Canis lupus familiaris: one gene and its partner. The protein of the gene in region 2 interacts with the protein of the main gene of each other region in a biochemical or structural test. Links are inferred from orthologs where the notes say so. Each region holds a gene or a part of one and is shown on either strand. Other genes may lie near its edges.

Evidence for each region.
Region 1: the proteins of GSK3B (region 2) and MUC1 form a complex in vitro, tested with the Homo sapiens proteins (2 studies listed by BioGRID). The link is inferred for Canis lupus familiaris from reciprocal best matches to the Homo sapiens genes GSK3B and MUC1.

The regions. Positions count from the first base shown.
Region 1 is NC_049228.1:42,321,394-42,336,156, reverse strand, and holds MUC1 (mucin-1 precursor), read right to left. Parts: upstream 9,276-14,763; 5' UTR 9,240-9,275; coding exon 9,179-9,239; intron 8,826-9,178; coding exon 8,030-8,825; intron 7,397-8,029; coding exon 7,174-7,396; intron 7,068-7,173; coding exon 7,012-7,067; intron 6,896-7,011; coding exon 6,765-6,895; intron 6,607-6,764; coding exon 6,485-6,606; intron 6,400-6,484; coding exon 6,250-6,399; intron 5,327-6,249; coding exon 5,252-5,326; 3' UTR 4,960-5,251; downstream 1-4,959. Other genes in the region: TRIM46 (tripartite motif-containing protein 46), read left to right, coding at 698-1,000, 1,728-2,025, 3,004-3,397; THBS3 (thrombospondin-3), read right to left, coding at 11,728-11,786, 11,876-12,015, 12,903-13,075, 13,300-13,496, 13,665-13,713, 13,824-14,002, 14,167-14,360, 14,637-14,689. UniProt on the Homo sapiens protein: The alpha subunit has cell adhesive properties. Can act both as an adhesion and an anti-adhesion protein. May provide a protective layer on epithelial cells against bacterial and enzyme attack.
Region 2 is NC_049254.1:24,299,471-24,314,172, forward strand, and holds the start of GSK3B (glycogen synthase kinase-3 beta), read right to left. Parts: upstream 6,316-14,702; 5' UTR 6,159-6,315; coding exon 6,071-6,158; intron 1-6,070. UniProt on the Homo sapiens protein: Constitutively active protein kinase that acts as a negative regulator in the hormonal control of glucose homeostasis, Wnt signaling and regulation of transcription factors and microtubules, by phosphorylating and inactivating glycogen synthase (GYS1 or GYS2), EIF2B, CTNNB1/beta-catenin, APC, AXIN1, DPYSL2/CRMP2, JUN, NFATC1/NFATC, MAPT/TAU and MACF1.

The DNA of each region.
Region 1 (14,763 bases), on a different chromosome or scaffold from region 2:
CCTTCTCTGTCTTGCCCTCACCAAACTCTTGGTCCTCCTCCCACCCCCCTGCCCTAGTCCCCTTTGTCTCTCTCTGCCTGCCGTAGGCTCCTGCCTCATCCCTGCCCTTCTGACCTTTTGTCCTTGGGATCCTTGCCCTCTGGACTTTACTTCTCTTTCCCTTGGCCTTTGTCTCCTGCCATTGTCAAGCTGATGCTTGCCCTTTGCTGTCCCCTTCTCTGCCTTGCTGACTCTCACATCTGTCTCCCTCCAACTCCACCCCTCCTTCCTGTCCAGTGCCCTTTTTCCTGGGTCCAAGTGGCCTCTGCCTGCCTTTCTCCACGGCTTCTCTTTATTCATAGAATTTAAAAGGTCGTAGAAAGAAGGGTCCCCATCTGGTCTAAGACCATTTTTGACAGAGGAGGAAACTGAGACCCAGAAATGGGAAGCAACTGCCCCAAGGCTGGAGCTGGGCAAAGGGCAGTCCAGGACCCGCACGAGGCCTCCTGCCCTCTGCGAGTGCACGCCAACACACCTCTCCCCTGCTCCTTTGGGCTCTGCCCTACCCCTCCCTGCCAGGCACCCAGGTGGCCTCATCTCCAGCCCCCTCTCACCCACACTCACCCCCCCGGCCCCCGCTGCTTTCCCCTTTCCTGCCTGCCCTCCATGCCAGGCCCATGACCAGGCCCCGACTGACCCCAGCTGTCTCTCCCAACAGTGCCCGAGGCTCCCGTCATTGACACCCAGCGCACCTTTGCCTACGACCAGATATTCCTGTGCTGGCGGCTGCCCCCCCACTCGCCACCTGCCTGGCACTACACCATCGAGTTCCGGCGTACCGATGTGCCTGCCCAGCCAGGCCCCGCCCGCTGGCAGCGGCGGGAAGAGGTGAGGGGCACCAGTGCCCTGCTCGAGAACCCTGACACAGGCTCTGTGTACGTGCTGCGTGTCCGCGGCTGCAACAAAGCTGGCTACGGCGAGTACAGTGAAGATGTGCACCTACACACACCCCCGGCACCTGGTGAGTGGGCAGATGGGGGGCACTGTATGGCACCTCCAGGGCGCAGGGTGTGTGGGGACCCACGAGCCCTACTGACAGCTGGTGCTGGGCAGGCACTGGACAGACAACAGTGGGCTGTGCTCCCGGACCCTGGGGCTAGGCTGCCTGGGTTCACATCCCCACTCTGCCTCTTGCCAGAGGTGGCCCTGGGCGAGTCGTGTGCCCCCACTGAACTCCCAGTCCCTCTTCTGTAGGGACAGTGACAGTGTCTGTGAGAATGAAGCCAGGTGAGTTCCCAGCTCCCACTAAGAACTCCATGATGGCAGCTCTCCAGGGGGGCCCAGCTGGGGGGTGCGCTGCAAGGTGTAGGTTGGAGGTAGGGGGCATAGCACCAGCTGGAACAGAGCAGCAGTGGGGACTCTCTGGGGGGCTAGCCATCAGAGAGGGGTGGGAGGAAGCCCTGCAAGTCCTCTAGGTCTGGGGAACCAGTGTCTGGGCCCACCACTAAAACTCTTCCTGGGATCTCGGGCCCATTTGGGATGCTCTTCTTTTCTCCCTGTGTTCTCCATTGCGATTCTGTAGGCCCTGGTCCCTGGAGCCCCCACCCATCCCTGGCAGCATGTTTCACGTTCCACAATCTTCCAGTGTCCTTTGCTGACACCTCACGGCCTCCACGGCCTCCCTGGCCGGTGTTGAGGCCAGTGTTCATCACCTGACGTCTCTCCTTTGTTACCCTCCCCGACTGCAGTCCTGCACTTTTTCCTCGACGGCCGCTGGGGGACAAGCCGGGAGCGTCTGGCCATCAGCAAGGACCAGCGAGCAGTACGGAGTGTGCCGGGGCTGCCACTGCTGCTGGCTGCGGAGCGGCTGCTCACCGGCTGCCACCTGAGCGTGGACGTGGTCCTGGGCGATGTGGCTGTGACCCAAGGACGCAGCTACTGGGCCTGTGCCGTGGACCCGGCCTCCTACTTGGTCAAGGTGGGCGTCGGCCTGGAGAGCAAGCTTCAGGAAAGCTTCCAGGGTGCCCCCGATGTGATCAGCCCCAGGTCAGGCCTCTTGGGGGGTGGCATGGGGGCCCAGGTGGGGGAGCTGAGGATGGGATGGGGGTGGTGAGGGGAGCTCCCACGGGCTTGGGGGGCAGTGGGGGACTCTAGGAGCATGGATGCCAGGCTGAGGCCTGTGGCTGGGGCAGGCGGGGGCTTAGGGGAAGGGCTTGGAGAATTGGTTTTCCAAGGAGGAGCATATGGCTGGGAGAGGGGGCCATCCACTTGCTCCATCTGTCCTCAGGACCACCACACCATCTCTCCGAGCCTCTGCGCCTCCCAACACCCTGTTCCAATGCATTTTCTCCACGAAACCCTCTCTCCTCCTTCACCATGTCTGTTCTCAACATCCTGAGATCCTTCCCTGAAAATGTCCACCTCCATCTCCTCTCTTGCCAACGCCTGTTTAACACCCCCTAATACATGCACTTCTCCAAACCCTTCCTCCCAGCACTCCCTTAGCAATCTCTAAATACCCCATTTCTCTGCAGTACTCTCCTGCCAACATCAATCCCCCCAACCCTGTGGCGCCCCCAGCCCCCTCCATCCCACCTCCCTCCCAACACCCACCTCCCCGACCACCTTCTCTCTCCAGCCCCTCAGTGACGAAACCCTCATCCTTGAATGCTCCTTGAGGGCCTCACCAGCATGATGTCCCCATGTCCCCACATGGTTCTCCTTGCTACTTGCTCATCTCCTGTCTTCCTGGGACACTTGATCCCCAGCTAGTCCCTCCTTCTCCGCCACCTCCCTGCCAGTGTGCCTGCTTTCAATATCCCTCTCCCGCTAGACTCACACCCGCAGCCCCACATTTTCATCGCTGTGTCTGCACACATCCTCTCAGTACCCCAAATGGATCCTTTCAACCACTTGCTCCCTGACATTCCATCCTCATGGGCTCAGGCCTCTGCCCCCACCCACCCACCCGGAGTGCCACACCCCTCCCCCCCAACACTCTCCTACCCAACTCCACTTCTGCAGGTACGATCCGGACAGTGGGCATGACAGTGGTGCCGAGGATGCCACAGTGGAGGCGTCCCCGCCCTTCGCTTTCCTGACCATCGGCATGGGCAAGATCCTGCTGGGGTCTGGGGCCAGCTCAAATGCAGGGCTGACAGGGCGGGATGGCCCTGCTGCCAGCTGCACTGTGCCCCTGCCACCCCGCCTGGGCATCTGCCTGGACTATGAACGGGGCCGCGTCTCCTTCCTGGATGCTGTGTCCTTCCGTGGGCTCTTGGAGTGCCCTCTGGACTGCTCAGGGCCTGTGTGCCCTGCCTTCTGCTTCATTGGGGGTGGTGCAGTGCAGCTTCAGGAGCCCGTGGGCACTAAGCCTGAGAGGAAGGTCACCATTGGGGGCTTTGCCAAGCTGGACTGACCCTTTCTGGCCCCTCCTGGGCCCTGGTCCCCAGGCCTGCTGGAGCTGGGTTATTCCTCCGGCAGCTTCTCCCCAAACTCTTCCTGCCATGTCGTCCTGTCCCTTTCCCTATGTCTGTGTATTCCTGGGGCCTTCTCTTGACCAAGGGACTCTCCCCTGCTCACCCTTCTAGATGTCCCCCATTCTCTCCATTGCCTGTTAAGCCAGGCTCCAGCCCCCACCAAGTCTCTGCCCCACACCCTGCCCATGGCATCTTACCCAATTCACGGAGAGAGCCCCTGCCCCATCCTTGTCCTGTACCCCTCCCCAGGCTGACTGGGAGGGAAGGCATCTGGAACACTGGGCATGGCCCCCAGCTCTGCGCTCTGCCCTTGGCCCTGCCCAGCTCCCTGCCCCATGGATGCTGAGCTCCAGCCTCGGGGCAGGCAGGCACTCCCTGGTGAGAGGATGGGGGCCCCTGTCATCCTGCTTGAGTTGTCCAGGTCCCATGTCCCTCAGCCGCATGCCTGTATCTCTCCTCCCTCTTGCATGCTTCACCCTGTCCCACACCCATGCCAACGTGCCAAGTCTCCCTTGGGGCCCCAGCTGAAGTTGGGTGTCCCCAGTGGGTTCGGCTAGGCAAGGCCTTTGGGGCTCCCTGCTGCCCCTGCAGTGGGCACTGCCAGGCCTGTGCCAAGCAACAGCTGTTATTTTCATGGTTTATAAACAATAAATGACGTTGCCAGGCACATCTCTGCCTTCCCTGAACCTGACCATCCCTTTTCATTTCTGCGCTGGGTGTGACAGGTGGGAAGGATCCAGGGAGCTCCGCTACTGCTCAGAACAGGGGTGCTCAGGGGATCTGCTGCCCAAGGGAAGGAGATCCCAAGCCAGGTGCTCCCAACCCTCCTCCAGCCACACGTTCTGGCTCAGGCTCCAGGTGACAGTGGCCTTCAGGGGGTATATTGTGCTGGTGGCTGAAGGCCATGCCAGGGCCAAGGCCCCCAGGGCATGTGGTGAGGGGGGCAGGCACCGTGCCTGGGCCCAAAGGGTCAGGGAACCAGAACCACTTCCCCATTCCCAAGGTGCCTAGAGCAGACCCTGCTGGCCAGGGAGGGGGCCAGGCCTGGCGTCAGCGTCCGGATCTAATGCTGTGCTTATCGTGGCCTGTTGACTCTATGTTGACTCTGCCTGTGTTATCACTGCCCACGGACTTACTTCACACCCTGGCAGCTAAGAATAGAGCCGCCTATGGGCACTGGGCCAAGGGGAGGCAAGGGCGTGGCTGCCACCAGCCCCCAGCCTGAGGAGAGGGGAGAGCCAGGGGTGCAGGTAGAGCTGGGTCACACTGACTTCGGGTCATGCTGGCCTCCAAGCCAACTCAGTTTCGTTTCCTCCTTCCTTGTGTGCCACCAGGGATGCCAGAGGTGACCTGTGCCCCAATGTCATCTCTCCACGTCTCCTGCTTTCCAGACAAAGCCTATTCCTTGCCTTCTTTCCCTGCCCCCAACTCCTGCAAAGATCCCTTCCAACGCCCCCCCAGCCTGCCCCCCACCTATGGGTCACAGATGACAGATCCAAAATTGGCAGTCAGCACAGATGAGGTCCCCATTTTATTCAGCCATGGTCTGGTTTGTACTTCCAACCCGGGGCTTTCTGGGTCAGTCCTCCTGGGAGCCCCTGTCCCCAAGGGGCTCGGATGGGCTTCATCAGCAGGGCTGACATGGGGTAGGGGACATGGTGGGGTCTGTGAACAGCCCACCTGAACCCCCTAGTTCACCAGCCCAGAACACAGTTGAGAGGAGAGGACTCTGGTGGGGGTCTGGGGGAGGCAAGTGGCATTGTCATCTGGACCGCTGGGCAGGCAATGTGCTCCTACAAGTTGGCAGAAGTGGCTGCTGGGTTCGGGTTCATGTAAGAGAGGCTGCTGCCCCCATTGCCTGCAGAAACCTGGGTGGAGGGAGGAGACATGGGCTGAGAAGCTGTGGGTTTCCTGGGAGGAAGTGGCTCCTGGATCACACCACAGGGTGGGGTAATAGGTCCGAGAGTCTAACTCTCAAAGGGTTAATTAGGAGAGCACCTGCTGGGCACTAGCAGCAGCCAGGTGACTGTAAACAGGGCGCAGGGCCACTCCTCCTCCCTCTGGTCCCCTTCACTGCCCCCCTCGGCTCTCAGCAGCCCCCTCGCCCTCCCCTACTGCCCCTTTCTCCTTCCATCGCGCTCCTCCAGCCCAAGCAGGAGTATCTGCCTCTGTAAGACTGGGAGAAGGAAGTCTCTGAGCAAAGAAAACAGGCTCAAGGGAAGGAAATTCCCCTCCCCCGACCTGGAGTGTCGCTCAGGTGGCCCAAGTAATTATTGACTAGGTCCTGGAGAGAAAGGCCAGGTGAGAAACAAGGAGGAGGGGTCCTCATTTCCTCCAGACTCCTGAGAACCCCTTGGCACCCAGGCTCACCTGGATGGGTTATACTTCTCCCCCACATCAGAGACCCCCTCTATTCCTGCCAGACTTTCTAAATCCACTCTCTGCTCCTAGGAGCTAAATGAATAGGGGCACAGGTGCTCATCCTGCATTGATGGCGTCACATCCCTTTCATCCTGGGTCCCAGGGAGCAGCTTGTGCTGCCAGTTCAGCGGAGCGGGGAATGCTGCTTTGGAAATGCTGGTCGTGGGGACACTCTCTTTTGAGATCCCCTTCCTCTCAAGGTCTCCTCCCCTCCCCCCGCTGTTCCACCCCACCCCTCCTGCCTCCGTGGGCCGCCACCACCACCACCACTTACTTGGTGCCCCTCTCCTATTCTACCTTCTCTGAGCATTTTCAGAAGCCCCGCACAGCCCAAACCTCTGCCTCCCTCCACCTGCGGGGCCCTCCTCACCTCCTCATAGGGGCTGCGTCTATTACCGCCAGGGGGCACATAGCGCCCATGGGTGTGGTAGGTGGGGTACTCGCTCATAGGATGGTAGGCGTCTCGGGTTGGAAAGATGTCCAGCTGCCCACAGTTCTTTCGGCGGCACTGGCACACAGTCTGGGAGAAACAGGGTGTTATGGGAGGCCATGGAGTTTCTTCTAGCAGGGGGGCTTCTGGCCAGGGCTGGAGACCTAACACTTACCAGGGCAACAACATAGATGATGGCGAGTGCAACCAGAACACAGACCAGCACCAGCAGGGCAATGCCCCAGCCAGGAACCCCAGACTTGAACGGGGCAGAGGAAGGGAAGGACACATCTCGCACTAAAAGGAAAAGTAGGGGTCAGAATATTCTTCCAAAGGAATGACCTTCCGTATTAACACCCTGGGGGACAGTAGGAACCCAGGTGCTGGAGAGAGGGGCCCCCGGAGACAGAAACAGAGACATGGTGCTGGGCCACAGCTGGGAAAGGTGGCCTCACCACTAATACTCGAGATGTTCAGGTTATATCTGGCTCCTTCTTTGCTGTCTTCAAACTGTGTCTTCACCTTGTTGGCATCAGTGGCACCATTTCGGAAGGCCAGAGTTGATTCTACCACCACAGATCCGGGTCTGCTCACAGGGAAAGCGGTGACTCAACCATAAGTCCCACCTTCAGGCGCAGAGACTCCCCCAACCAAGGCAACCTGCCCCTCCCCCACACAGGTTCCACACCCAGAACCCCCTACCTGAATCTGATGTTATAAAGGCCCAGGAAATATTCCTGTCCATAAATCTGCAAAAACTGGGGTGAGAATGGAAGGACTAAGGCTTGAGGCAAACAGTCCAGGCAGTTTGGAGGCTGCTGTGGGGGGAGCATGGAGCACAGAAGAATAAAGACACCTACTCACCAATTCAGAAATGTTCCTCTGCAGCTCCTGGTAGTAGTTGCTGCTGGGATTTTCCAGAGAAGAATTAAACTGGAGGTTCAAAATGGAAAAGGACAGGAAGAAGAAGGAGATCCTAATAGACTGGGGAGAAGTGCTATGATTGGAGGAGATGGGAGGTTCCATGTTATGGTTAGTGGTACTGGCGGTAGTCCTGGTGGTGTGGCTGCTGGCCCAGGATGAGGAGCTGAGTTTTCCCAAGGTGGAGGTGGAGCTTGAGGCTAGGCTGGTGGTGGAGGATGAGGTGCCATGCTGTGCTGGGGTGGTGGTGGAGCCTGAGACAGGGCTGCCGGTAGGGGATGAGGAGGTGGAGCTTGAGGCTGGGCTGCTGGTCAAGGATGAAGAGCTATGCTTTCTCAAGGTGGAGGTCAAGCTTGGGGCTGGGCTGCTGGTCAAGGATGAAGAGCTATGCTTTCTCAAGGTGGAGGTCAAGCTTGGGGCTGGGCTGCTGGTCGGGGATGAGGTGCCATGCTGTGCTGGGGTGATTATCGAGCCTGAGACAGGGCTGCTGGTCAAGGATGAGGAGCTGTGTTTTCCCAGGCTGGTGGTCGAGCTTGAGGCTGGGCTGCTGGTCAAGGACGAGGAGCTATGCTTTCTCAAGGTGGAGGACGAGCTTGAGGCTGGGCCGCTGGTCGGGGATGAGGTGCCATGCTGTGCTGGGGTGATTATCGAGCCTGAGACAGGGCTGCTGGTCAAGGATGAGGAGCTGTGTTTTCCCAGGCTGGTGGTCGAGCTTGGGGCTGGGCGGCTGGTTGGGGATGAGGAGCTGAGTTTTCCCAGGCTGGTGTTTGAGCTTGAGGCTGGGCTGCTGGTCAAGGACGAGGAGCTATGCTTTCTCAAGGTGGAGGTTGAGCTTGAGGCTGGGCTGCTGGTCAAGGATGAGGAGCTATGCTTTCTCAAGGTGGAGGACGAGCTTGAGGCTGGGCCGCTGGTCGGGGATGAGGTGCCATGCTGTGCTGGGGTGATTATCGAGCCTGAGACAGGGCTGCTGGTCAAGGATGAGGAGCTGTGTTTTCCCAGGCTGGTGGTCGAGCTTGGGGCTGGGCGGCTGGTTGGGGATGAGGAGCTGAGTTTTCCCAGGCTGGTGTTTGAGCTTGAGGCTGGGCTGCTGGTCAAGGACGAGGAGCTATGCTTTCTCAAGGTGGAGGTTGAGCTTGAGGCTGGGCTGCTGGTCAAGGATGAGGAGCTATGCTTTCTCAAGGTGGAGGACGAGCTTGAGGCTGGGCCGCTGGTCGGGGATGAGGTGCCATGCTGTGCTGGGGTGATTATCGAGCCTGAGACAGGGCTGCTGGTCAAGGATGAGGAGCTGTGTTTTCCCAGGCTGGTGGTCGAGCTTGGGGCTGGGCTGCTGGTCAAGGACGAGGAGCTATGCTTTCTCAAGGTGGAGGACGAGCTTGAGGCTGGGCTGCTGGTCGGGGATGAGGTGCCATGCTGTGCTGGGGTGATTATCGAGCCTGAGACAGGGCTGCTGGTCAAGGATGAGGAGCTGAGTTTTCCCAGGCTGGTGGTCGAGCTTGAGGCTGGGCTGCTGGTCAAGGACGAGGAGCTATGCTTTCTCAAGGTGGAGGACGAGCTTGAGGCTGGGCTGCTGGTCAGGGATGAGTTGCCTCCCTGTGCTGGGGTGATTATGGAGCCTGAGACAGGGCCCTCTTCCTCCTTCCTGTTAGTCTCCCTCTCTCTTCCCACACCCTCTGATCTTAGCTGTCCATTTCTCCAATCCTAATATTTACCTCTCCCGACTCCCACCACCTCCCCAGACTTCTCTCCAGGTCACTGTAAGGTCCTGGTGCCAGCTCTCCTGAGGGGCTGACTCTCCCATCTGTCCTTAGCCTCTCTCCATTCCGGCACAGACTGGGTCACCCCTGTCTGCAAATTCTGCCCCTGGGGGTGCGATCCGCTAGGAAAGAAAACCCACAGAATGGCTGGGAAGACCCCATGAGCAAGGCAGCCCCCATCTTGTGCCCCTCACCTGTAAGCTCTCGGGTTACCAGGAGCAGGAAGAAGAAAGGGGCCTGGAAGCTTGGAATCATGGTGGTGGTGAACTGGGTGGGAGGAGGTGGAACAGTTTCAGGAAGGCGCTGCGTGTGAGGTGGAGCGATCACAGGCGCCTGCTGCTTTATACCGGTCCCCAGCCCGCCCTAGACTCCCTGCGAGCAGGTGACAGGTAACAAAACTCCACCCCTTCCCCCTTTCCTTACCTCCGACTTCTTCCTCCTCCTCCCCAACCATTCCTGGGCCCTCCTGGAGGGTACCTGGGCTCCCATCACTCAACCCTCTGACAACCTGTTTGTTCTCCAAATGGTCTACTCCTTCTACCAACCACTCCCTGGCTCCAGAAGGCAGTGGAGGAGTGGGGGGAGTCCAGGACCTGGGTCTCCCGGGCTCCCCGTTTAGCCTCAGGGCGACAATCAGGGTGAGAAAAGGAACAGAGGAATGGGCTACGTCAGACCCGGACAGCAGGCCGAGGAAGCCCACCCTTAGGTCCCTCACCCCACTGCCTCATTTTCACCGGGTCCCTGGAAGCCGCCCTGCGGGGGCTGGGGAGGAGCGAGACGGCTCGAAAAAGGGTGGACCGGGTGCCACTCGTGAACCCCCTCCCCCCGCCACTTTCCGGAATCTCTGCTCCTCGGCCAGTCCCAGCCGCTCCCTGTCCCGTTCCTCACGCAGGTCCCCCGAAACCCACAGTCCCCGCCCCTGCAGCAGCCCGCGTGCCCTCCTCAGCTTCTCTGGAGGCGGGGGCGGGGGTTAGAACCCCTTCAAGCTCCGCGGGACCCCGGGGTCTTTCCTGTCGGATCCTCGGTCAGCGGCGGGCCGGGCTCTCCTGCCCCCTGGCGGCCCCCGGGAGCCTGGCAGCCGTGCGCGCGGGAACCGGGGGCGCCGGGGTCTCGGGAGAAAGCAGCGTGCTAGAGCGCGGCCGGAGGGGCCGAGGCGGGAGGTCGGGGAGACGCGGGCCCCGGCGCGCAGGTCAGGGGCTCGCCCGCAGAACGCAGGGACGCGCGGCTCAGTCCACGGAGGGGCTGTCGGCGATAGGGGACCCCGGGGCGCGTGGGGCGGGGTCCCAGGGAGCCGGCGCTCGGTGGGTGGGGCCCTGAGGTACGCGGTAGGGGCGCCCAGGTATGTGGGAGAGGACAGCGGAATGTGGGAAGGGAAATGGGTCAGGTTAATGACTCACTTAGCAGGCAGGGACTAGGTGGGGCAACAGAATGGTATTTGGGGGCCCCCGAGCGACGCTGGGGGGCGGCAGGCTCTGCTGCGACCACGGGCCGTCTGTGTGGGGGCGTGATGGGGGTGCAAGGAGGACGAGGGCAGGAATGTCTGGCGCGGGGAGGTATTTGGGGCACAGAGCACATGGAGCGCGGGGGTCGGGCCCCCTCCGGAGGCTACATCCCCCCAGTTCTCGGTGGCCGCGAGTACAGGCTGGACAAGGAACTTTCAGGGCACTCGGGTGCGGTGGGGCTGGAAGAAGCCGGGCGGCCAGGCGGGGCGCGCGGCCCGGGGGTGGGGAGGGGGTTGGCGCGGAGGCCCCCCCACCCGCCCGCGGGAGAAAGCGCTAGCATCTAAGTGGGCGGGCCCAAAACTTCGGCCCCGTCGTTGCCTGGCAACAGCCATTCAGTCCGGTTGCTGGGACACGCGTCACCATGGCGACAGCTCCGCGCCGCCCGCTCCGAGTATTTAAAGAGCAAGCGCGCGCAACGGCTGGGTGTCGGAAAGCAGTTTTCCGGGCCACCGCGGTCTCCCCTCCGGCCTCCGCGTCCCCCCACGACCGTCCCCTCCCCCTCGTTCAGGCGCCAAGTCTCTGGCCTCCAGGGTGGACCCGACTCCCCAGCGCGACACCGTTCCTGGGGCTGGTCCGGCTGCAGGCGGTGCGGAGCGGGATCCCGGGCCCCGGGTGGGCGGGAGGGACGGGACGCGGTGCAGTGTTGTTCTCTCCCCCGCCAATATTGCACTCGTCCCGGCCTCCGGCCCCCCCGGCCCCCCGGCCTCCCCCTCGCCCCGAGCGGCCCAGCTCCAGCCCTCCTGGCTCTCGATCCGAACGACCTGATAGACTGGATTGTCGCCGCTGCCACACCGTGAGTAAGGGGGGGCCGGGAGGGCTTTAGCCATCTTCTGGTCAGCCCCTTATCCTTCACCTGCCCCAATCCAGTGCCCTTCTTCCGCCACGCCACGGGGCCCCACACTCAGGAACTTCCAACCTCCCAGCCCTCAGGCTCCTTCCTGCTCCCTGCACCATCCCTGGAAGTCCCTCATATAAGCAACACGTGCTCCCTTAGAAAACCACTGTAACTTTATGGCAACTGGAGGTTATCTTTCCTGGGGTTAGCTCCTGAGAAAAATACCCCTTGAAAAGCTCCGTCTCCTGGACAGTGGGGGTCACCACCCCTCTGGGGCTGAACACCTGTGGGTGCCACAGGACAGTCTGTTTGGCTGGGTGGCTGTAGATTAGACCCCAGGGGCTCCAGGATGGACCCCAAGGCCGGAGGATCTAAAATCAGGATTCTGAGTCCAGTGGGCACCTCTTCACACTCTTTCCTGGAGCAGCTGCCTCCGGAATGGCTCAAAATCCTCAGGCACTGTGTCTAATGAAGGAGAAAGGATTAAGGTCAGAAGATAGAACTCTCCAAGAGGGGATACAGAAGGTCAGGGTGATCTCAGACTGGAGCCTCACCATTGCATCGATACTGGAGATTGGACCAAATGATGTTTTCTTGGGAGAAGCAGAATACACCAAGACGCCCTCCTCGCATGGCTGTGTCAATGATCACCCCAGAATCCGCCACTAGCTGAGGACCCTCATAGAGCTTCACCCTGTCCAGGATAGGGGTGTCCATTGGTGCTAGGGTGCCAGCAGGCACTGGGCCATCGAACCCAGGCCCTGCTCATCCCCAACCCCCCTTGAGCTCACCAGGCCAGAGAGAGAACGGAAGGAGGGAGTGGGAGGAAGGAAAGGGGAGGGACGGGGTGCTTTTCTCAGGACTGGGGCCCCTGCCTCTTTGTCCACCCCCTTTGCATCTCAAAGCACCAGCCGCATTCCAAGCGAGGATTGGGTTGCCATGACAATGAGCACAATGGGCTGGGGGGTGAAGTCACCCGCTTCCCAGGCTCTAGTCCACCCTCCCTCATCCTCTGCCCTGGCACCCTGCAGCCCCAGGCACCTTAAAGGGAAACCAACCCAAGTCCCTGGACCCTAGGCTCTTGCGTTTCCCCTCCCTTCCCTGTCACCCCCACCAACTAGGAAATGCACAGTGCTGCACACAGCACAGAACTGAGAAGCCTTAGCTCTGCTACTAAGAACCATGTGGTCTGGGCCTCAGTTTACTCTTCTGCAAATGACCCCTTCAGAGTCAGCTTCTGGGAGGTGCCACAGAAGGCACCGAATGTCACGGGCCTCTTCACAGACTGGCCTGCACTTTAGAGGCTCCCAAGGTATGCCCTCATTTTACAGAGGGGAAATTGGATCATGGACCAGGAAGGACTTGCCCAACATCGCCTATAGGTCCTGGGCAGCACCAGCTCCAAGGCCCAGGCTGCCTGACAGGTAGGAGAGTGGGGCTGAGAGGGCAGAGAGAAGCGGCTTCAGTCCCAGCCCATGGCACCAAGGAATGGAGTAGCAGGGCAGTCACTGGTGAGTCTCAGCTACAGATGAAGAAAGAGTGGGCTGGGGTCCCTCAGGATGGTGCAGCCCCTCCCCTCACCGAATGTAGCCAACTTGGGGCCGGTGCAGCAGCTGCCAGCGATAGGAGGTCTTGTCACGCCAGCCCACATTTCGTGGGTCAGTCCACAGCAGTCGGACCTGATCAGGAGTGTGGCCAGTATGCCACAGGGCATTCCGGAGGTGTTCACCGGGGCCGGACACTGATGTCACTGCCTGGAGGGTATTGGCAAAGACAGCAGCTCAGCCACAGGTTGATAACGGGTTGATAAGTGCAGGTGGAAAAGGAAGTCAAGGAGATCGGAGAACATTCTAGAGTCCTGGGGAGCTAGCTTCCAGGCCATATGTCTAAGAAAGAGGGTTCCCCCTCAGGCAGTGGGGGAAGCCCTAGGGTCAGCCCAAGGAGGCTTTGGGACTGGAGGAAGTGGGCAGACTCAGACCTTGAGCTGCAGCCCGGGCTGAGCGACAGCCCGGAAGGGTGTGGCTTGCCAGTAGGTCTGCTCTGTTTGCTTCCACATGACCACATAGAAGCGGCCGCTATCCTGATAGCTGAAGAGAAAGCCTGCGTAGTCATCATCAGTCACTGTGTTCACATGGAAGGTGCCTTCAAAGTCCACACCATTGAAGGCTGTATACCCTGGGGGTGGGTGGGATCAAGGTCAAGGGCAGCAAAGCCACTACAGGCCTGCTGTGGGCCAGGGGTGGGAAGGAATGCTTGCAGTATGGGTGGCCAGTGTGGCCCCCTCCCTCTGCCCCTGTAGGATTCCTCCATTTGGAAACGATTGACTGGGTGTCCCGCACATACCAACTGCCAGGCCGGGGTCACTGTTCATGGTCTGAACGATTTCCATACCCTGGTGGTGTGTAGTAAAGAAGAAAGCCCTGTTCCGGGTACGCTACCTCATCTAGGCCCCACCTGGTAGTCTGCTCTGTCCAGCACTTGCCCAGCCCACTGCCCTCGTACCTGATTGAGCACGACCCAGTTTGGATCAATCTGAGCATCACCCTCAGGATCCAGGACAACAGTCTGATAGGCTCGAAAATCTGTGAGGGTCACCTCTGCACTTTCAGGGCACACATCCAGGGGATCTACCACCGCATCATTGTCAAAATCATCCTCACACACATCACCAACGCCATTGCCTGGGCAGAGTGAAGCCAGGCATTCAGGAAGGCCTGGTCGTGGCCTCTAGACAACACTACCAACTGTTGGGCCTTGTCTTCCTGACTTCCCCCTGGCAGCACCTACCACCTCCCCCTGGGTAGGACTCCCACCAGTGCCATCCTCTGTGGGACCCCAGCCTTACCATCTGAGTCCTTCTGATTGGGATTGGGTACCAGGCGACAGTTATCAGGACCAGGAGGCACATAGTCTGGGACCCCATCATTGTCATCATCCCCATCACACTCATCTCCAAGTCCATCATTGTCTGAGTCCAGCTGGGAGCTGTTTGGCAGCTGTGGGCAGTTGTCTTTGGTGTCCTGATGTCCATCCCCATCACTGCCCAGAAGAGGCATCAAGTAAAAGCTCTAAAAGTACCAAGTCCATCCCCTCTCTTCTGCTCAGGAGTCTGGGGTGTGCCCTCCATTCAGCCACATTCCCTGCAGTCAGCCAGGTGAGGCGAAGCTCCAACAGCAAAAGTGGGGGGTAGCCTAGGGGAGTGACTTCCCACCCAATAGTAGTGGAGAATCAATTAAGCTGTACAGGAAGTAGAAAACAGACTGGAGGAAAGTAAAGGAGCCCGGATGAGACCAGCTATTTCCTGGCGCCCCCTACCTGTCCTCATTGGTGTCACAGACATCCCCCACCAGGTCACTGTCTGCATCTGTCTGAGAGAGAGGGGCCTGTTCTCACCATCTCTTGATAACTCTGAAGACAATGGCCACACTGCTTCCCATGTGAA
Region 2 (14,702 bases):
TAACAACTCCAAAATATGTTGAAAAGGGAACATATTAAGAGATTTATATTTTATGCAACAGTTGGCCATGGTACCCTGAAGACAAAGGAAAAGTTGATTTGAGAGAATGAACTGAAAAACAAGAAAATACATCATTGTCTCAATCTAATCAAACCAAAATGCTTCTCAGAAAACTATTCAGGGGGCAGCCTGGGTGGCTCAACGGTTTAGCACCGCCTTCAGCCCAGGGCGAGATCCTGGAGACCTGGGATCGAGTCCCACATCGGGCTCCCTGCATGGAGCCTGCTTCTCCCTCTGCCTGTGTCTCTGCCTCTCTCTCTCTCTCTCTCTCTCTCTCTCTCTCTCTCGTGAATAAATGAATAAAATTTAAAAAAAAAAAAAGAAAAAAGAAAACTATTCAAACACAAAAATATAAGATTCAACTATTCACAAAATTTTAACATGCATATCCTTCCAAAGTAGCTCTTTCTACCTAAAACATAAGGAAAAGTGGGAAGGAGGGCTGTAAATTAAGAATCCAAATCTACAGAGTTGTATCTTCATATTTTATATCAGACCAAGCACATTACAGACACAGTATACACTGAAATAGTTTTCTGAATGTCCATGTGCTGCGTATTAACTCATTTTTGAAAACAGAAAACTCAGTAATAAACAGAATAGCATAAAAGCCCTTTTTAAAATCAATTTAATGGTAAAAACCTTTGGGAAAACAAATTGTTCTCCTTTAACTCTACTGTCAGTTTTTCCTTGTACTATTCAGAGGTCTTCATGTGAATATACAGTTCTACATCACATTCAACCAATTTCAAAGGCAATTCACATTACCAAGATTTGTACAATCCAAGACAGAAGCAAAGACTGCAATCTCTCCTCTAAAACCCGTACACCACAAAAATACTTCTACCCTTGAAATCACCACACCTCCCACCCAAAAATATGCCAGAAAATGATGCTAAATGTTCCAACAAATTCCTTTACTTATGGTTATTATGTTTTTATAACAGTATCTGGGAAATCAGGTTGGTCCTGTTAGCACCAGCATATACTCCAGTCACACCCACGTGCTCTGTCCCTCCATTCTCCATTGTAGGGTGGAGCATCACAAGAGACAGCACAGATTTACAGTCTGCCCATCTCTATCCCTATCCCACAATCCCATTAGTCTCATTAAAAAGTATGGAAATGTGGCATAGGTCAGCAAGTTCCTGTTTCACAGCATTCTCTATACATAAACCATACACAAAAACTGAGATCCTCCAGTCTCAGAACCTGCTGCTGACACTTAGAAAGCTCTGGCTTCACCAGCCTTGCTGTTTCTCCAAAACAGTAACTCACACTTCCAAATGAAGTCTAAAACAAGGGGCAGGCGGACAGGGTGCAAGAACTGATTTTCCCTACACCAGTGAAATGAATGTCACCTCATTTTCTCAATGCCATTCCCAATCAGCCATAAATTGATTTGTGAATCTCTGGATTCCCTTGAAGTTTTGTCCTAGTACCTGTGCCTTATAGTCATTTCACAATTAGCATTCTACAGGTACATGCAACAAGAGAGCATGCAATTCCTATGAGAAAGTATTAGTGTTTTAACAACTCTGGAAAGGTCTGGTCGGAAAAGGAATGGAAACTTAATGAAAGTAAAGCTTTCAGTTTCATACACAAGATCTCATCCACATAAATGCGAATGATCTAGAAATTGGCTAAATTCTAATAACCTAATTTTTAGGTGCAAGGAGATTAAACTACCTTGGGAACAGAGTAACTAAATTGCCACGTAGTCTTTGGTTTTAATACAACTAAATACTGCACAGTAATATGCAACTACTATTAATTATGTTCTCTTCATTAAAAAAATTGATGTAAAAAGTTTTATATGAGGAAATAAGTGATTCTCACTGATTTCTTTTCCTCTTTTCCAAACCTTGTATGTAAAAATTAAACCTAGCCAATCAGCTAAATTTTTGCCAACAGTATACCAAAAGGATTTATTACTAATATTTTAATCACAATCACCATAGACAGTCCTCTTTGAGTAAAATATCACACAATTCTACAGGAGGAACTGTATAGCTGTTAAGATATTTTTAATAACACTTGCATCTGGATGTGAACCAAAAAGAAATACTGGTTTCACCTTAGTAAGTAAAAATATTTCAGATATACAATTTAAATACATGATTTAAACTCGGGATGAATGCGGGGCGCAAGTGGGGGTGCAGTCAGTTAAACGCCTTACTCTTGGTTTAGGCTCAGGTCATGATCTTGGGGTCCTGAGATCCAGCCCCACTTCAGGCTCTGCCCTCAGTGTGAAGTCGGTTTGAGTTTCCCTCTCCTGCTCATGCTCTCCCTCTATCTAAAATAAATAAATAAATCTTTAAAATAAATAAGTCGATATATAAACTTGGGATGAATGCTTACTTAATTCAACTAACGAGGCAAAAAATATTTTTATAAAATCAACTTTTGGGATGGCTGGGTGGCTCAGCAGTTGAGCGTCTGCCTTCCACTCAGGGCGTGATCCCTGCGGAGAGCCTGTTTCTCCCTCTGCCTATGTCTCTGCCTCTCTCTGTGTGTCTCTCATGAATAAATAAAATCTTTAAAAAAAAAAAAAAAAACAACTTTTAATTTCTGCTGGAGCCTTCACAAACCAAATAAAAACTATTCTTACTTGTATTATTATCATTACTTTCAGTGCAAAGTTTACCTAATAACCATTATTTATGAAAAATAGGCTTAAACATACCAAAGATTAAACTAAAGGCTATTTAAAATACCTAAAGTTTTTATGTCATAGTTTAGTCCAAAAAATTTCCATTGTTTTTCAAAACCACGGAACCGTTGTTATAACTAGGATCAAGGGTGAGGCTTTTGAATCTACATAAAAAATTACTTTCTTTTTTAAGACTTTAATAGAAAGCATTTAAGTAAAAACCGTTAGTTTACTGCTCCCAAAAATAAATCCAACATTTTTAGATGAAGAGAAATTAGAAATTGTGCAATTAATAGACTGTAAAGTTAAATATCATTGCCAGTAACCAAATACTACTGCCTGCTGAACTTCAAGGGAACCTATTGTACATCAAATTTTTAAAAAGTGAACTCATTTACCCTCTCATCTCAGCACTTTCTCAACTTTCCCATTACAATTGACAATATAACTCAACGGTCAAGTCTTCCAGACCAACAACATCAGAATTTATTTTTAACTCCTGACTCCTTCCCAAACATTTCCCTTCGATCCAATCCAAAGTCCCGCCAGTTCCTCATTCACACTATCTCTCAAATGCATTATTTTCATACCATTTTCACATTTTATTTTATATTTCTTCATGATTAGCAACACACCCTACTGTCTCGCTAAAAGGGTTCTAATGTCTACTGTAATCCATTAACACAGCTGCTAAATCACTTTCAAATATCTTGTTCATCAACATACAATAAATCCCAATGTCTCTTGAACTGCATCCAAACTCTTAGAGGCCCCCTCTGCTCTCCATCAGCTATGGTTAACACATTTCCCATATCCTATCTCTTATTTTCCTATTTAGGCCCCTTTAATTCAAATTTACCAATTTGCTTGGTAAGTACAAAAATTATCTACTTGCCATAGAAAAATCACCATCTCCGTGCCTCTGTCCATTCCTTCCATCTAGAATCCTTTATGCTTCTCTATGAATTCAAGTGATTGCCTCCTTTAACACCTGTCTTAAAACACATCGCAGCAGCAAGTCTTTCTTTCCTCTCCAACCCGAAGGCCTCACCCCTGTATTCTTCATCCCTCTGAACAAAGCATTCTATTTGTATTTATAATCTTGCAGTCATCATGCTATTGTTTTCATATTTTGTACCATACTGCTTCTACGACTAAATGATAAGCCATTGGGGCCATTAATTTCTCTACATATCTCTGTTTTGAACAAGGGTCCTTTATAAAACAGTAGCACTGTAACAAATGTTTAAGGATACTTCTTTCTTCTAAAATGTCCTTACCAAAAAAAAAAAAAATCCTTACAGTTAAGATTGTCAAAAACACAGAATTAGCATTGAACTCCAATTTTTAAATGTTGACCCATATGAGAATAGAAAATTAAACACCTTTAACCTATGCACTTTACAAGAGTTACTCCATCCTCAGTCAACATCCACATTACCAAGAATTAAGGAGTCATTTTCAAAGGAAATCTTGGAAACAAAATGAAAAGTCCAAAAATTAACATTATAAGCCATTCTGTTTTGCTCTCTGAAATTGATCTAATAAAATAATTACCTAAAATTGATTTCAAGTGGTTTTTAAACTATATTACCAAGATGAAAAACATACAAACACTCCAGTACCACAAGAGGCTCTTAAGTAGCTATTATAAGATTTGCCTCATCATAGCTGAAAATTACCCCAGAATTTTAAAATATTCCTTTCAAATGACCCCATGAAGTGCTTAGAAAGCTTGACTCTTCTCTGAAAAATGCATCATCAGCCCCTTTCTTCACATATCCTGCATTCTGTACTAATCACAAAAATAAGTAACTTTAAAAAATGACCTGCTATTCAGCTACTACCTTAGACCACCCTGTTTCAGGCATGTCCAAAAGGCAACATGAATTGAAATCCTGAGCTCAATTAAAAGTGATAAGTTTATATTGCTTAAGGATATAATCAATTTCACATAACAGTATTTACATATTTTTTTTAAAAATCTCAGTTCTTTCCTTATCCTAGGCAGCAAAATAGTTTCTTTGCCCTCACTGTGCCCCCTTCTAGAGGAATAAGGAAACAATGTAGATATTTTTGTCAAATTCTGGAAGTGCGGTTTAAATAAGCTGTCGCTAAATACCACATAAACATATCTACAAATAGAGATACTTTGGAACACTAGATACTTAGTATACCAAACACCTCAAGAACACAGACTATTAGCACAAATCTGGGACAAAGTACAGTCTAGCAACAACCCTGAACACAAGCTCAAATACCTTATTATGTCCCGGACTACAGCTTTCTGCAAAACCTGTGACAGAAAGGTCTAAATCCAGATTGTTATAACTAAATCCATAGTTTTCTCTAACTGCGGCAGGAAACCAATGCAAGAGTATTTTAAATACTATGGTAAATAGTCCTTAGAAGGGGGCCCTTGAACTCCAGATCATTGAACAAGTGCTGAATGCAAATGGCACCCCAAAACTGAACTTAATGATGAGTCAGTGACAATTAACATTCAACTTAGTATTTGGCAACCTGACAAGACAAACCTCAATCAAAACTTGGCCCTACTTCCAAGTTACCTTTTGATTAAACATAAATTATATAGTGGTAAATTGGTAATGTCAAAACGAGGAGGTTAAGAGATAACATTAAATCGTGTATCCAATTAAAACAATGCCTGTAGCAATACAACTGCTACTGGGTCTCTATCAGCTCCCACCGACCCCTTTCTAAAGGGAGAACTCGAGGCTCTCCTCCAAACGTGAATACGAGTTACTGAGCAAGTTCATCTCCGGATTAAGAACAAATACTTTGTAGTCACACAGGCAACAAACAAATGTTAGGAGACTGTGACACTTACAGTCCTTCTAGCAAGTACACGAAACTACGATAATCCCCGAGGCCTGAGCTGAAATAACCCTCCTTCTAAAAGACACGTACTCGGCAAATGTACATAATAATTTGAATCGTCTTGTCCTTCCCCCCCCCCTTTTTTTTCCGAAGGGATGAGCAACTATTTACTTTCATCGCCGTTTTAACATAGAAACAGTCAAGCACACTTGATAAGGCGGACGACTAACCGCACAAAAAGTGTAAGAAACAAGTTCCAAATCAAATCGTGCAAATAAAAAGCATATTCTCTCAATTCAAGGTTAATGAGACCGGGGGGGGGGGGGGGGTGGGAGGTGGTGCGGGAGGAGAAAAAGAGGGAGCTGCCTAACCCTGGACTTAAGACAGGTTTTTGCCCTTTTCAATACCTCTGATTATTAGTATCAGGAGGTCTAATGTTTTAAGATCCTGGTTACTAAAGGTTTCTTATTTTAAGGGTGAGGTGGAGAAGGGGCGTAAAATAAAATCAATACTCACTGCTAACTTTCATGCTGCCAAAAGCTGAAGGCTGCTGCACTGGCTTGCAGCTCTCCGCAAAGGAGGTGGTTCTGGGCCGCCCTGACATGATCACTCTCTTCCCGAATCACCCTCTTTTCCTTCCTTCCTCCTTTTCTTCCTTTTGTTTTATGTTGGGGTGTTAGGTTAACGATAAATGCAGCATTAAGTTCTCCCACGAGAAGATTAAAAAAAAAAAAAAAAAAGACTTCGTCCTCTTGGCTTTTCGCTCCTTTTGTATAATTAAAAAAACAAAAAAAAAAAACAAAAAAAAAAAACGAGTGATGTATTTCTCCTTCAAGACAGACCAGTTTGGATATTTAACATATAGATGATTTGGGGCTGGGGGGAAAAAAAATACAATTCTTTCCCCTCCGTTTCCTTGGAAGGGAGGAAGAAGGGGGGGGGGGTCTTAAAAAAAATATCACGTGAAACGGGGGCAAATACTTGATTGAAAAGAAGTACTTTGAATATTATATTTTCCTCGGGGATTTTTTTTCCGAGTCAATGAAGAAGGGAAGCGGCGGAAGGATCACGAGTCTCACGCTTGAAAAGAAGGGGGGATGGGAAGGAGGGAGGGAGAGGGAGGGGGTGGCTCGGTGATGCGACGGGAAACGCTGCGGCTCCGGCGGCGGCGGGATCCGGCGGGCTGGCGGCGGGGGCCCGGCGAGCTGGAGGGCGGCGGAGTCGCGAGTCAGTCAGAGGCGGGCGGTGGCGGCGGCTCCTCGTCTCATTGCGCCAGGAGCAGCTGCAGGCGGCGGCTGGATCCAGCGGCCATGGCGGCGGCGGCGGCGGAGGCAGCTCCCTTCAGACCCCAGGCGGCGGATCCTCGACTGCTCCCCATACGCCGGGGACATGGGAACCCGGCAACCGCTTCCGTCCCCGGGGGCCCCCTCCCCCGTCCGCGGCACCAGCGCGGCCGCCCTCCCGCCCCTCGCCTCTGCTCGGTGCCCGCTCAGGAAGTGTCCGCGCTTTGCCCCCAGCCCGGAGCCCTGTCAGCGGCTGTGGGGCCGGCTCCTCCTCGCTTCCTTCCTTCCTTCCTTTGTCACTCGGCCCGGGCGACGGCGGCGGCGGCGGCGGCGGCGGCGGCGGCAGCACAAGCCTGCATTCGCCCGGGTCGGGGGCTGCTCTGTGTGAGGAGCGCCGTCTGCGCAGCCGCCTAGCTCTTCCCCACTCCCCCTCCCCCCTCCTACTCGTCCTCCGCCTCCTTCCTCCCCCACCCAGCCTTCCACCGCCCAGCGCCCCGCCACCCGCGTAACAGGCGTCTGGGAATCGCCGGCCGAGGTCCGCGCCCGCCCGCTTCGGCGACGGAACCGAGGCCGGAGGCACAGCCAATCACGGACGTCGGCTGCCTGCGGCTCCTCCCGGAAAAAGCCGATCGGCCCGAGGAACCAATTACAAAGTGTCGCCGGAAGTCCACGCCCAAAGAGCGGAAAGTGCCGAAGACCGCCGAGCGAGAAGAAGGTCGGGGCTCGTCCCGCGGCTGGCCAGCGGGGGAATCCGACAATGGCAGCGGCGGCCAATCACAGCCGCCGGCCCTCACCGAAAGGCTGGAGGAGTTAAGGACGGCGAAACCCGGAGTCACTGGTGAAACGGCGCGGCTGGGCGCCCCGGCCGCCTTCGTAATTGGCCGAAAACTCCGCTGGGAGTGTACCTGCTTCGGGGATTGGCGAGGCGACGGGGGCTTCCGACGACAGTCTGGCCAGTCAGGACGTCTCCTCCCTCGCCGAGGCGGGGAGAAGAAGAAAGAAAAGGGAGGACGTCTACAAAGCGCCTTCTCATTGGCCCGAAGCTTTGGAGCCGGAGTGGGGGCGAAAGGGAAAAGGAGGGAGGCCGAGGCCCGCAGCGGCAGCCAATCAGCGCTCAGGGCCGTCCAATCGCAAGACCTAGCTGCGCTGTGATTGGCCCTCCGCCTGCGGCGGCGGCGGCGGCGGCGGCGGCGGCGGCGGCGGCGGCCTCAGGAGCTGAGGGGAGCCGCGCCGGGGTCGTGGCGGCCGGTGCGCCGGGCTGGTCTGCGGCCGCTCTCGGTCGTTGTGGAAACCGCAGCTGGCGTGCGCAGCGGGTCCGAAACTGCTGCGGTCGGCGGCGCCCGGCCCGGAGCGCTCAAGCGAACAGAGCGGCGACAGGGGCTTCCCCCGTCCGCCCCGGGAGAGCGCGGCCGAAGAACCAGCGTCTTCCCCGAAAGGGCCAGACGGGTGCGGGGCGCCTGCCCCGCCGGGCGCGAGCCCCCTCAGACGCTGAAGTAGGAGGAAAGCTCACGGACAGGCAGCGCCCCCGGGCGCCCGCGCCCTGCCCTGCCCTGCCCTGCCCTGCCCTGCCCAGCGGCGGGGGCCTTTGATAACGTGAGGCCGCCCGCGCCTGCCGTGCGCAGCCGGGCTGGGCCTTCTGGAAACGCCCCTGAGAAATGAGCTCATGCTGGATGCGCGCGCTCCTTGGGCGCGACGGCCCGGCGCAGAGCGAGCCCCGAGAACAGGTATGGGGAGACGCCGTCGGGCCGGATATCCTGAAGCCTCCGAGGAAGCGGGGATTCAGAAGAGCCCGTGGCTTTCTGCCCTTTGGAACTAGGGCAGGCCGTAAGAGTACTAGTTACGTAGGTTTCACACAGAAGCCCGCGTGCATTGTTCGGCCGAGAACCAAATTCCTTAGGTTTGCCTGGGGACCGTGAGGTATGGCTAAGCCAGGATACCAAAAAAAAAAAAAAAAAAAAAAAAAAGGAGATAGAATGGACAGTTGCCATCCTGACCGTAATCCCGTGGTGCCTGTAATTTCCACCTGCAGAGTCATCCTTTTTGTGAAGATACTATCTCCAGAAAGCACATGTGAAAATACTCCTAGTCCATCAGATTACCTCGCCGCTGCTTTGAAAAACTCGCGAGGGACTTGGAACAAAGTAAGCTTTGATGGGAGACAGGAAAAGTCCAGATAGGGTTTACAGACTCAAATGCCTACGGGGCCCGGAAAAAGAAAGCAAATGAATGAAACTGGCCTGGTGTGAAACAATGAAGAGTAATAAGAAATATGGCAAATTAGTGCCCATGCTATAACTGAAAAGAGCGGCTGTTAAGCACCAGCGGATTGTTGCCCACAGGGATGTGGGTCCAATACTCTGAGATGACGACCCCCCCCCCCCCCCGCCCAGAGAAACCCTAAAACGATTTTTGTGCGAGATGTCTGGATTTTTAAGTGTTAGCAGCCAATATTCAGAACCCTGCAGGCCAAACTCAAAATATCCAGGTGAAGACCTGGCCAACATGCAGTCGATTTGTAATATTAAACCTGAACATAGCTTTTATAGCAATAGAGTCTCTTGTTCTTTGCAATTAAAAGAAAACATAAGGTCTCTGGATGTCACAGAAATGGATAAAAATGTTAAAAGCAAATGCAGTGCATGGCAATTTTGTCAGATGAATGTTATCTCTCTGTGGCATTATGAAAGACCTTTGGCTCTAGTACCTAAAATGTTGTGAAGCAAAGCTTTGAATCCTGCCTTCTTCTTTACTCCCTACTCCTACTTCCAATTATACCAGAGGAAAGTCAGTAACAAATGTTTAGGTTATACAAATTGGAAACACGGCTGTTCTTCTACATACAATAAAGTAGAAAAATAGCCAAACTTAAGGTTGTAATTAATAGCTTTACTGTTACTGCCTTCAAGTATTTTGAACTGATGCTGTTTAAATAAAAAAAAAATCTGACCCAAAGAGAGAAATTTTATAGGAAAAAAAAAGTATTTCAATCTAGAATTAGGGCTTAAGAAGGAAGAAGTTTATGAAATAGAGCTACTGAAATTAACATTCAGTGTTTCTCTGAACTAACAAACTCTTGCTTTATCTTCCCACCTGATGTTAACCACTTAACAGTTTATAATAATTTTAATATTTGATATATACTGAGTGTTTACAATGTGCCAAGCACTGTTCTTAAGAGCTTCACACATATTATCTCAAATTCATAGTACTATGATGTAAGTACTGTTACCACCTCCACTTTTCAGATGGGGAAATTCCAGAAGGGTTTACTAACTTAACCTAAAGTCCATGTAGCTAAAGTAACAGCTAGGATTCAGATGTCCTGTTCCTAGGCTCTATTCTCTTTCAAACACAGTCCTCACCTCTTCTGGTCTTTTTACTTTATCTTAAAGTCTAAGCCTTACATCTTGAACTATGTGTGACTTGTGAACATATCTCTGGTTTCCTCCAGGGCTCATCAAATGCTTCCTTGCAGAGATCTGTGATTCTGAGCCACAGTAACAGTAAACCAAAGGATTAGAAAAAGACAAATGTAGGAAAGCTGAGTGATGTAGTAGAAAAAAAGAGGTTGATGAATGTGGCCACAAGATAATAGTCATGAATTAAAATGCACAATGAACTAACTTTTGTAGTAATAAGAAATTTGTATAGCAGTTTGCAGTTAGGAAGTACTACTTGAAACTATTCTGTTTTTACTGTACACTGCAGTAAGTGACTTGCTTAAAATTACTTAGCTGCCTTTTTTTTTTTTTTTTAAAGATTGTATCTATTTATTCATGAGATACAGAGAGAGCAGAGACATAGGCAGAGGGAGAAGCCGGCTCCCCTCAAAAAGCCCAAGGCAGGACCCAGTCCCAGATCCCCGGATCATGCCCTGAGCCCAAGGCAGACATCCAACCACTGAGCCACACAGGCGTCTCACTTAGCTGCATTTTTAAAAAAGATTTATTTATTTAGAGTGCCTGCATGAGCAGGGGTATGGGGGAGGGAGAAGGAATCTCAAACAGGCTTCCTGCTGAGTACAGAGCCCAACTCAGGGCTGAATCTCATGACCTTGAGATCATGACCTGAACCAATATCAAAAATCAGGTGCTTAACTGACTGAGGCACCCAGGCACCCCACTTAGCTGCATTTTTAATTGAAACTAGAAGAAAATATAAGCAGGTTTAAGAATGAAGATAGCAAATAGAATATGAGATAGTTTAGTTAGATGAACTCAGAGTCAACCATTCCAAATAGAAGTCCACAAGGAAACTCTTCTTTGTAATACCTCATTTATTTAGTCAAAATATATTAAACACCTCAATGTTGATGTTTAAGGAAAAATAAATTGAAGAAAAATTTTAAAAAGGAAAAATAAATTTATATTCATTGAGTACCTATTTAAATTTTCTCAAAACCCCAAGAGATAGGTGTTATTAGCCCTTCTTTTAATACATGGAGGAAAAAATAAGTACTCAAGGTCACGTTATAAGTAAATGACAGAGCTGGAGGGGCTACCTGGGTGGCTCAGTTGGTTGAGTGTCCAATTCTTGATTTCAGCTCAGGTCATGATCTCATGGGTCATGGGACTGAGCCTTGTATCAGGCTCCGTGCTCAGCAGGGAATCTGCTTGAGGATTCTCTCTCTTGGCCCCTCCCCCATTCGCTTTTGTGTGTGCGTGCTTGTCTGCACTCTTTGTCTCTCTCTCTCTCTCTCTCTCTCTCAAATAAGTAAATCTTAAAAAAAAAAAAAATACTGGCAGAGCTGGGATGGGATTTATACCTCAGTCTCTTTCTGCTAGATTACTCTGCCCTCCATGAAAAAGTAATGTTTATCTCATTTACATAGAAATATCCATGCAAGCACACAGGTGTCTGGAAATACTAATTTTGATGGCATTTTGGATGATCTTTATTATCTCTATGCTTTCCAGTATTATCTTCATTTTCCACTTTTACATAAGCAAAACACTTAAGGAAAAACAAAGGTAGGATTGCAGAAGAACCAAAGAAAAAAATGAAATTTCTCAATTTGATTAGGAATTAATAAACCGAAACTTACAGAGGCACCCTTAGTCAAAATTTTGATAAGTGTTCCACAGGAAAATAACAGGAAAAATAAGTAGCAGATGCTAGACAGGGATTCAAGGTGGCAATTTCAGGGCTGAGCAGAAGAGGGAACTAAAAAGGGGGCATCTATAGAGGTTCTGAAGCAATAGCTGAAGTCTGCCCCTCCCTAGGTAGTAGGTTTCGATGTCATTACTGACACTGCCATGTAAAGGAGTCAATGTTATGTCTAAGAGAGATGAAGCAACCTATTGACTATACTGGAAAGCATCAGCAAGAAAATAATTTGGCAGTAATATCAAGAGCCATTTTAAAAATTGTGCCCTTTTTAAAAAAAGTTTTTATTTAAATTTCAGTAATTTAATATACTGTGTAAAATTAGTTTCAGGTATACAATATGATGATTCAGTGCTTCCACACAACATACCGTACTTATCACAAGTGCACACCTTAATCCCCACCACCTATATAACCCATCCCCCCCACCTCCCTTCTGTTAACCATCTGTTTCTTCTCTATAGTGAAGAGTCTGTTTCTCAAGTTTGCCTGTCTCTCTTTTTTCCCTTTGCTCATTTGCTTTCTTTCTTAAGTTCCACATATGAGCAAAATCTATGGTATTTGCCTCTAACTTATTTCACTTAGCATAATACTCTACCCTCCATCCACATCATGGCATATGGCAAGATTTCATTCTTTTTGATGGCTGAGTAATATTCCATCCTATATATACCACATCTTTATCCACTCATTAGCCAACAAACACTTGACTGTTTCCATAATTGGCTATTGTAGATAATGTCACTATATTCATCAGGGTGCATGTATGCCTTTGAATTAGTATTTTTGTATTCTCTGGGTAAATACCTAGTAGTGCAATTGCTGAATGGTAGCATAGTTCTATTTTTAACTTTTTGAGGCATGTCTATTTTGTTTTCCAGAGTGACTGTACCAGTTTGCATTCCCAACAATGCTCTTTCCCTTTTCTCCACATCCTCACCAACACTTGTCGTTTCCCGTGTTGTTGATTTTAGCCATTCTGACAGAAGTGAAGTGACATCGCATTACAGTTTCGATTTGCATTTCCTTGATGATTAGTGATGTTGAGCATCTTTTCATGTGTCTGTTAGCCATCTGGATACCTACTTGGAAAAGCATGTACTCATGTCTTCTGCTTATTTTTTAATTGGATTATTTTTTGGATGCTGAGTTTTATAAGTTCTTTACAGATTTTGGATGCTAACCTTTTATAGGATCTGTCATTGGCAAATATCTTCTCCCATTCTGTAAAGTGCCATTTAGTTTCATTGATTTCTTTTGCTGTGCAAAAGCTTTTTATTTTGATGAAGTCCCATTAGTTTGTTTTTGCTTTTGTTTCCCTTGCCTCAGGAGACATATCTAGAAAGAAGTTGCTACAGCCAATATCAAAGAAGTTACTGCCCGTATTCTTTTCTAAGATTTTTATGGTTTCAGGTCTCACATTTAAGTTTTTCATTTGTTTCTGTGTGGTGTAAGAAAAAAATTTAAAAATGCATTGCATTTGCATGTTGTTCTCCAGTTTTCCCAGCACCAATTTATTGAAGAGACTGTTTTTTTCCCATGGGATATGCTTTCCCGCTTTGTTGAGGATTAATTGACCATATATTTGTGGTTCATTTCTGGATTTTTTGTTCTGTGTGTCTATTTTTGTGCCAGGATCAGACTGTTTTGATCACTACAGCTTTGTAATATAACTTAAAGTCTGGAATTGTGATTCCTCCAGCTTTGCTTTGTTTTTTCAAGTTTGCTTTAGCTATTTGGGGTCTTTTGTGGTCCCTACAAATTTTTGGATTATTTGTTCTAGCTCTGTGAAAAATGCTGGTGGTATTTCAATGAAGATTGCATTAAATGTGGAGATTGCTTTGGGTAGTATAGACATTTCAACAGTATTTGTTCTTCTGATCCATGAGCATGGAATGTCTTTCCTTTTCTTTGTATTATCTTGAATTTCTTTCCTCAGAGTTTAATAGTTTTCAGAGTACTTTCACCTCTTTAGTTAGATTTATTCCTAGGTATCTTATGGTTTTTGGTGCAATTGTAAATGGGATCAATTCTTTGATTTCTCTTCCTGCTGCTTCATTATTGATGTATAGAAATGCAACAGACTTCTGTGCATTGATTTTCTATCCTGTGACTTTATTAAATTTAATTATCAACTCTAGTAGATTTTGTTTTGTTTTGTTTTGTTTAGTTCTAGTAGATTTTTGATGGAATCTTTCGGTTTTCTATATTTAGTGTCATGTCATCTGCAAGTAGTGAAAGTTTTAGTTTTTTCTTGTCAATATGGATGCCTTTTCTTTTTGTTGTCTGATTGCTGTGGCTAGAACTTCCAGTGCTGTGTTAAATAACATGGTCAGAGTGGACAACCCTGTCTTATTCCTGACCATACAGGAAGGACTCTCACTTATTCCCCATTTAGTATATTAGCTGTGTGTGTGTGTGTGTGTGTATATATATATATATATATAAAATAAAGGATATATATATCCTTTATTGTGTTGAGGTTTGTTCCCTCTAAACCTCTTTTATTGATAGTTTTTGTTGTGAGGTTGTACTTTGTCAAATGCTTTTTTTTAAGATTTTATTTATTTATTCATGAAAGACACAGAGAGAGAGGCAGAGACATACGCAGAGGGAGAAGCAGGCTCCCTGCTGAGAGCCCAATGTGGGACTGGATCCTAGGACTCCAGGATCATGACCTGAACCCAAGGCAGATGCTCAACCACTGAGCCACCCAGGAGTCCCGGTTAAATGCTTTTTCTGCATCTATTGAGATGATC